Linked DNA regions of Danio rerio. The protein of the gene in region 2 interacts with the protein of the main gene of each other region in a pairwise test. Links are inferred from orthologs where the notes say so. Each region holds a gene or a part of one and is shown on either strand. Other genes may lie near its edges. The genes, in order: akap12b and fhl1a.

Evidence for each region.
Region 1: the proteins of fhl1a (region 2) and akap12b interact in binary tests that used the Homo sapiens proteins (3 or more experiments, as listed by UniProt). The link is inferred for Danio rerio from reciprocal best matches to the Homo sapiens genes FHL1 and AKAP12.

The regions. Positions count from the first base shown.
Region 1 is NC_133195.1:29,130,353-29,134,181, reverse strand, and holds part of akap12b (A-kinase anchor protein 12b), read left to right. Parts: intron 1-2,849; coding exon 2,850-3,829. UniProt on the Homo sapiens protein: Anchoring protein that mediates the subcellular compartmentation of protein kinase A (PKA) and protein kinase C (PKC).
Region 2 is NC_133189.1:36,176,944-36,181,346, reverse strand, and holds the start of fhl1a (four and a half LIM domains protein 1a), read right to left. Parts: upstream 2,883-4,403; 5' UTR 2,783-2,882; coding exon 2,761-2,782; intron 1-2,760.

The DNA.
Region 1 (3,829 bases), on a different chromosome or scaffold from region 2:
TTTAATTGTTTTGTGTGTGTTTGTGTGTATATATATATATATATATATATATATATATATATATATATATATATATATATATATATATATATATATATAGTTGAAGTCAAAATTATTAGCCCCCTTTCAAATTTTTTTTCAACCATCGTCTTACATTTCCTTGCATAATTACCCTAACCTGCCTTTAAATGTCACTTTAAGCTGTATAGTAGAGAAAATATCTAGTAAAATATTATTTAATGTCATCGATGCAAAGATAAAATAAATCAGTTATTATAAATTAGTTATTAAAACTATTATAATTAGAAATGTGTTGAAAAAAATCTTCTCTTTGTTAAACAGAAATTGGGAAAAAATAAACAAGTGGTGTAATAATTCAGAGGGGCTAATAATTTTGACTTCAACTGTATATACACATGTACATACATACATACATACATACATACATACATACATACATACATACATACATACATACACACAGCACATTGCAGGTTCATTGGATTTTTGCAATCTTAATGGTTTTTATTCACCACAATCCATTCTAAAAGTAGATATTGATAGTATCATAAACAAAATTTTGATTGTTCATTCAACCAGAGTCAAAGGGGGCAGTCACTAAAGTATAGTTATTTAGTGTGGGAGGTGGGGTAGTTGGCCTGGTGGGGGTCCGGCAGTCAGTCTACTGCTCATTCTTCCTGCAACTTCCCTAAACTCACAGATTCCACTAATGAACAGCCTGCATTTGCATGTAACAGCAAGGGGTAGGGGGTTGTTGACCATTACCTCAGACCCATCTCAACAAACATCCACCCTTCCCCCAGCTTTCTAGAGAGCCCAGCTATCAAACTACTGTGATTTCAGATGGCATCTGCCCCCACCCACCCACAGTTCTACACTTTAACAGCCACAACAGACACGCTATCAAATTCCTTGGCTTGAGTTTCCCCAATCTGAGACAAAGGCAAATGTAGGGCGACTGATGGCTTACTCATGGTCCCTGACCCATTTTGTCTTTCATACTCAAGTAAAATTAAATACACACACACACACACACACACACACACACACACACACACACACACTGCACAGACATGTCTCCAGCTGTGTGAGGCAACAGCATCATGTTATAGTTTAATGTTTCATTTTTCTAATTGTTACCTAACTTTTATTGCCCCTTAAGATACCGCCAAACTTTTCCAAAAGTTTTACAGCTTGTCCAGTAATCAGTCTTCCATATCATCAAGATTTTCTATCTGTCATTCTAAATTGTTTCCCATAATGCCCCTTTCCCATTTTACTGCAAGGATTTCATCATGGTAGTTTAGGTTCCAGGACAGACAATAGTGTGGCCCCCCACCCTTTTTAGCTAAAGCAGGAAAAACCAGGGGCCCGTTTGGAGACAAAGAGCACAACACAATACAGTCTTCCTAAGCTAAAGTTTAGAATTGGGTTTGGTCTGTGGGGGGGATGGCTTGTTGTTTTGTAGGGGGATGGGAATGCCATTGCACCCCAGTATCACATTGAATTGTGGTATTAGATTAGCGCCTCTCTACATTTATAGCATACTTTAAAACCACAGAAGAGCTATCTTAATTTAAACTTACTGAAGGTGGATAAGCTAATGTAAGATTGTAAATGCATTCTCCACTGGGTGACCATGGCACGATTAGGAGCATTGGTAGTTTATTCTATTTTGTTGTTTCATTGTAATTTTTTAAGGGTGGGGTAAGACTTTACCAGTCACATAAAAATATGATTATTTTAATATGATTTATAATTTTTCGTTTTATAAATCATAAGTTGTTTGTTTGGTAAATGTGTTTGCGTTATCTAGGCCTGTGTCATGCAATTGTGTAGGATGTCAAGTAATGTTATATCCATGCATTAAAAATGCTTGGAATTTGTTTTTAAAGTCACTGGGTGGGTTTCAGACCCCAAAGCAAGAGCAAGCAGAGCCAGATGTGAGCAGTCTCTTGCTAGGTTGGATGTCAAAGGGAAACTGGGCCTCTAGGAGGCCCACACTATATGTGAACATGACTCCCTGTTCCTAGACCCACACCCTCAAAACCAACCCACTCCTGTCAAAACACAGATAGACGAGGGAGGAATTTAAGACATTATAAATGTGTGTGTGTGTGTGTTTGTGTTTTTTGTTTATCCACCTGTTGTGCTTTTAGTTACATTTAGTTTCAGATGATACTGTGCTCACATGCTGATTAATATTAGTAAAATACTATCAAAAAAAGCCCCTTCGATATGAGTTTGCTGTGTTTTATTAAATCAGGTCAGTTTCATAGTCCAAAAAGTTTGGCAACATATCCTGCATAGCTGAAGCTTACTACATGGAAATTTCCCCTGTTTGCTTTTAAGTTAACTGTTGTCATCACCCCCGTTTTATAGTTTTGGTTAACATTTACAGGCAGGAGACCAGAATATGTAAACTTAATATCAGATTGCCATCATATGCCTGATTAAATCTGTAAGGGGGGAAATGTTTTTTTTGCAGGTTTTCCAGAAATGTGGCTCTGATTTCCTTCAAATGACACAGTCCTCCATCTTGAGTTAATCATCTCACTAGATCATTTATTTTGCTTTTATTATTATAATTACAAACCTGTTTTTCTAAACTAATTCTTTTTGTGGGTTGACTATCCACAAGAGACCAAACACACAGACGATTTTAAACACTTGGAGTGTTATGTTATTTAATAATCTGTTAACTTGATGATTCGAATGGTGACGACTTGATTCATTTTTTTTTAGATGTCCAATTAAGTATCATAAGTATAAGTGAATAAATTTATGCAAGCAATTTAATAAAATCTTTCATTTTTGTTTTATTTCAGTTGGTCAAACGGACACCATCTCCCCAAAAGAAGACAGCCCTGAAACAATAGAAGTGCACCAGGAAGAGGTTGCCCCTCAAATGAATGGAGAGAAGGGAGACGATTCTGCAAATGCAGATGAGATTACAACTGCTGAAGAGAAGGTGGTAGAGGAAAAACAAGAAGAGGCCAATGAAGTGGGCTTCAAGAAGATTTTCCGTTTCGTTGGATTCAAATTCACACTGAAGAAAGACAAGAATGAGAAGACTGAGCCTGTGCAACTGCTGACAGTGAAGGAAGCAGAGAGTGGTGCTGATGCAGCCACTGAGGAAAAGAAAGAGGAACCTGCAGCAGAGGAGGACAGGTCTGTGGAAGAAAAATCACCAGAAACCACAGAAAATGAGGCCAAAGCTGAAGAAGTAACTGAGAAGGCAGAGGAACCAGCAGAACAAACTGTAGTTGATGCACCATCAGAGACAGAAAAGGTCAGTGATATTGAAACTGAAAAACCTGCTGAAGAAACAGGGACAATATCAGAGAAAGAACCAGAGCCAGAAGTGCCAGCTGAATCGCCCACAAGCCCACCCTCTCAGGAGACACAGAGTCCCTTTAAGAGATTTTTTACTCAGGGAATCTTTTCTAACCTCCGAAAAAAGGCAAGCTTCAAAAAGCCCAAAGATGAGGAACATGTCAAAGAAAAGCCTGTGGAGGAGGACATTAAGGAAACTGAGGAAACAGCAGAGGGTGTTCCCGAGGCTACAGAAGAAGCTAAAGTTGATGCTGAAAATGAACCAGCTGAGGGTGAGCAGATAGAGAAACCATCTGAAACTGTTGAAACTAAAGCTGAAACTACCACTGAAACGACGGCTGAAACAACCAATGAAGTTACTCCCACTGAGAAAGAAGAGCAACAAGATCTTAAAGTAGAGGCTGAGGCTACAAGTGAAGTTGAAACTGTGACTCATACTGAACCTGCTCAAGCTCCAGCTGTTGAAACAACC
Region 2 (4,403 bases):
CTTTTGTATAGAGATTGCAGCATCTAGGAATAGCACAAATAAACATCACTGATGATATGAACACACATGCTCCCTCTCCATCATAAACATACAGCCTCATCCTATTTGAGTTCGGCTTCTCCGTATGTTATTATGCGTTAAGACGCTCCAGACTGTCCTACTCAAGAGTATTTGAGTCTTTATGAAAGATATATCGAAACTAGAGTTCAGTTTCACATCACTTTACCTCAATGTATGATCATCAATCACAGGTATTTGTTTCCTCTTACCTGCATGTGATTTTATTTACTCTTTTAAAGTGCTGGTAGCCATTGACTTGCATTATATGAATCACATTTTCAGCTAAAACTTTCCTCTAATGTTCTTTCATGCTGACGATCTTAGATGGAGTAAACATTTATATGCATAGTTCCTTTATATTTAATAATTTGTTCATTATCCTTCACCTTAGTCCCTTTATTCATCAGGAGTCGCCACAGCGGAATCTACCTCCATCTTATCCAGCATATGTTTTACACAGTGGATGGCCTTCCAGCTGCAATCCAGTACTGGGAAACACTCATACACACTCATTTAAACACATACAAATTTTGTTTATTAAATTCACCTATACCTCATGACCTGAAGGAAACCCAAGCGAACATGGAGAGAACTTGCAATCTCCACACAAAGATGCCAACTGACCCAGCTGGGACTTGAACCAGCGACCTTTTTGCTGTGAGGTGGCAGTGCTACCCACTTGGCCACCGTGTTGTCCACTGCTATACCTGCTACACTATACCAAATATGTCTGAGCTCAGTTCGTTTTTTTTAGCTGAATTCTCCTCTATACAGGAGCGGTGTTGTGGCTTCTGTAAACTAAATAATCATCCTGACCTGACCAGCATGCTCAATCCCCTAAGCCTTTTGGGAGAGCGTCCATCAGCTGTTCATTTTTAGCCAGCTCTGTCAGTGTTATCAAACGGACCTCTTTGTCCCAAAGCGAAGAGCAAATGCTGTTTTGAAAGGTCACCGCGAGATCAAATTCAGCCATACGGAGAACAGAAACCGAAGAGAGCATGTCCACGTTAAAGCAAACATTGATTGAGATGGCTATATTTGACAGTAGCAAATGCAGGCCAAATAAGAGGGGAAATGATGCAGAATTAAGGAATTAGCTCAATTGATATTTGGACAAGATTACACATGGGACAATAACCAGTTTTAAGGTTTACCGTGGTTTGGACGTCATTTTTAAAACTGCTAAAATTTTCTGTTGTACCATTCCAACAGTATCAACACAATCTTGTGGCAATTCATAACTTTTTTTTATTTAGTGGCTAATTCGTATGAATTTGTACATCTCATTCGTACAAATTAGTATGATTTGCTCATCTCCCAATGACGGTTGGGTTTAGGGGTGCGGCGGGGGTGGGGGTGGCTTGGGTGCCATGCCTCCTTTTTAAAATTGTACATTTTCATTCGACTGAAGTTGTACAATTTCAAACAAATTAGCCACTAAACTGACAAAACGTAAAATAGTTACATTTTGTCGTGAGATCAGGCTGGCAGTAAATGTACGTTGTTTTGTGTGTGTGTGTGTGTGTGTGTTTTACGACTATTAGTTTTTTTAGTGCAACAGTATTTCCAGCAGAAAAGAACCCTCCACATCAAAAGCTGGTCAGCACGCGATTCAGGAAAAATTTTAAAGCAAATCTCTCGTACACCTACAGCCAAGCATGCTATAGACCTGAACAGTGCAGTGGCTTAATTTATATGCAAAGAAAAGAAAGATTTCCAGGGACGCCTTTTCAAGTTGTAAAGAAATCTGGTTTTGAAACTAATGAAGACAGCAGAAGCCAACGATTTATTGCAGTTATTCAGCCTGAAATGTTTACTGTTCCAAAATATTATAAATGTTTCTTCAAATAAAATATATATTGTGTTTAGAGGGGGTTGTTGTTTTTCCCCCCTGACATTTAAAAAAAGAACATGTTTTGGAGCAGTAATCAAAATACTATGATATTTTTTATCTATCATACCATCAAAATCTTCTACCAGCCCATGCCTGACAAGATTGAGATCACATACAAATATACCCAAACTCAGCATTATAGTGACTATACAGACAAAGATGTGCTTGCCTGCCTGTGATTAACATAGCATCTACTTTATTATCTATTTTGCACAAGCTCTCAAATAAGATTGGTATTCATCTATACTGGAATTACAATGCCTAATCCTCTCAAAAATAAAATAAAACAATGACACCTCTTTTATAAAGTACAATTTGCATCAGGGTATATTAGAAAGCCCTTTCTGTTAACTAAATCCTAACATATACTTACACTGGCTGCATTTATTTGTTAAAAACAGAAATTCTGATACAGTTTTTAAATCTTATATTTTTTTGGAATATTTTATAGATATAAAAATGTCATTTATTTCCAAAGCTGATTCTTTAAGCAGCCTTCTGACATGTTGATTTTGTGCATTTCTCAATAATATACAAATAAAAATGGTTTTACTTTTTACTATTTTCATGAAAAACTAAATTTATCGTTTAGTTGAGACAGAAATGTGATTACAAATACCTTTACTGCCTCTTTTGACAAATGCTATGCTTTACAGCTAAATAATAGAAATTATTTTAGAACAATCCTACTGATCAGTCTTTGGATCTCAGCTAAACCAAATACAATATGCCTGATTAAAAAACAAATGCAAGTGCCAAGAGAATCCACTGGCTGATCCATCAATCGTCACGCTGTGCATCTTTACCTGAGTGCCTGTAGTAGCTCATGTCTGCTATCTGGAAAAACAGAAAGCCTTGCAGAAGTGAAAGAGATGGAAGGATGGATTGATACAGGATACCAAGTATAGCCAAAGAGTTACAGGAGAACTCCACTCTTCTTTTGAAAGTATTTGTCATATATACAGTACTTCCCCAGCTGCCTTTTAAAACCTGCCCCCCAGTTGCCTACCACACCCATCATGGCCTGTCCTCACAAACCCAGTAATCCCACCCAAAGCATCAGCTGCCCACTCCATGTTAGGCTGTGCTGCAAAAGATAAGTGAAGGGGAGGGAGCCGGAGAGAACTAAATTCATCTGAATTCTTGGCTTGTGACATCAGAGAGCAGAATAAAGGAATCTGATCTTCATATTGGAGAAGCTTGTGTTCATTCTGCAATGGATTAGTAAAAGTACATGGCACCACACCTAGAACAACTTTGTTTATCAGTCCTTACTTTGCCAAGTAAACTTTGTGTTGCTATTGGCTTGTCTGATTAAACAATCATTGCAATAAAAATTAGAAAGCAGAGAAAAGAAGACAGTAAAAGCTTCTTAAATTGCTTCTCTGAGGGCTTTTTGGAGGACACTAAAGTGCAACTGTCCTCAGATGCCTTTGATACTCAGTTTGACTCTATAAAACAGCCGTTTCTCCATCTACGCCAAACCATGTTTATAATACAACAGAGTGTGGAGCTTTTCTTATTTCTCAACTTATTCCTAAAGATTGTGATGTATGAGGAAAACTATGCTTGATTTGGAACCAGCTGTAGGATTCTTGTAGTGGCTCATGAATTTGAATGACTAAATCAAAACATACGAATGACTAGAGATAATTAATTATGCAGAGCTGAGTGAAATCTATAAATGATTTCCATGAAAGGACTCGAGTCTGAACTCAAACACTGCAGGACTTTTGAATGTCTACAATATACAAGTGAATGTATAGTAACTTTGCAACTGCAAATTAAAAAACAGTTAATCAGAGTATATTCCAGTAAGTTGTAACCCAATGTTGGGTCAAATATGGACAAACCCAACATTGGATTATTATTTTTAATTAAATTTAAATTACACTTTTTATTCCAATGGTTGAATTTGACCCAACATCGACAATAAATCCAGGTGTAAATGAGATCTAAATGTTTTAAACTTGTATACTTTGGCCATGATAGTCCTGTTTCCTCCTGGTATTGAGATGCAATTTTCTTAATCGGATCACAAGTATTTATTTTGTGCAGTCTACAGTACATATGAATGTTAATGGAAATGACTCAGAGAACAGATCTGTTTTTTCTGATAGCAATAGAATCTGTTAAAACGCCTGTTGAAAACTGTTGGTTTGAGTTGGAATCAGTACTGGCAAGCGAACAATGACAGGGTTCCCACAGATCATGCTTTTCAAAAGGTCTATTCCGGTCATTACAATTGATTTTTTTGTACAAATCATGGAATATCAGGCATTTCGGATTCTTTAGTTTTCATGTATCAAAATTATTATGTTTTTTTGATCCACTTGTTAAGTGTGACCACGTGAAGCGGCTGCCTCCAGGCGCTCTATAAAACTGTATAGGGAGACTCAACAAATGGTAATAATAAACGTTTACAAAGCGATGTAATACTTAAAAAATA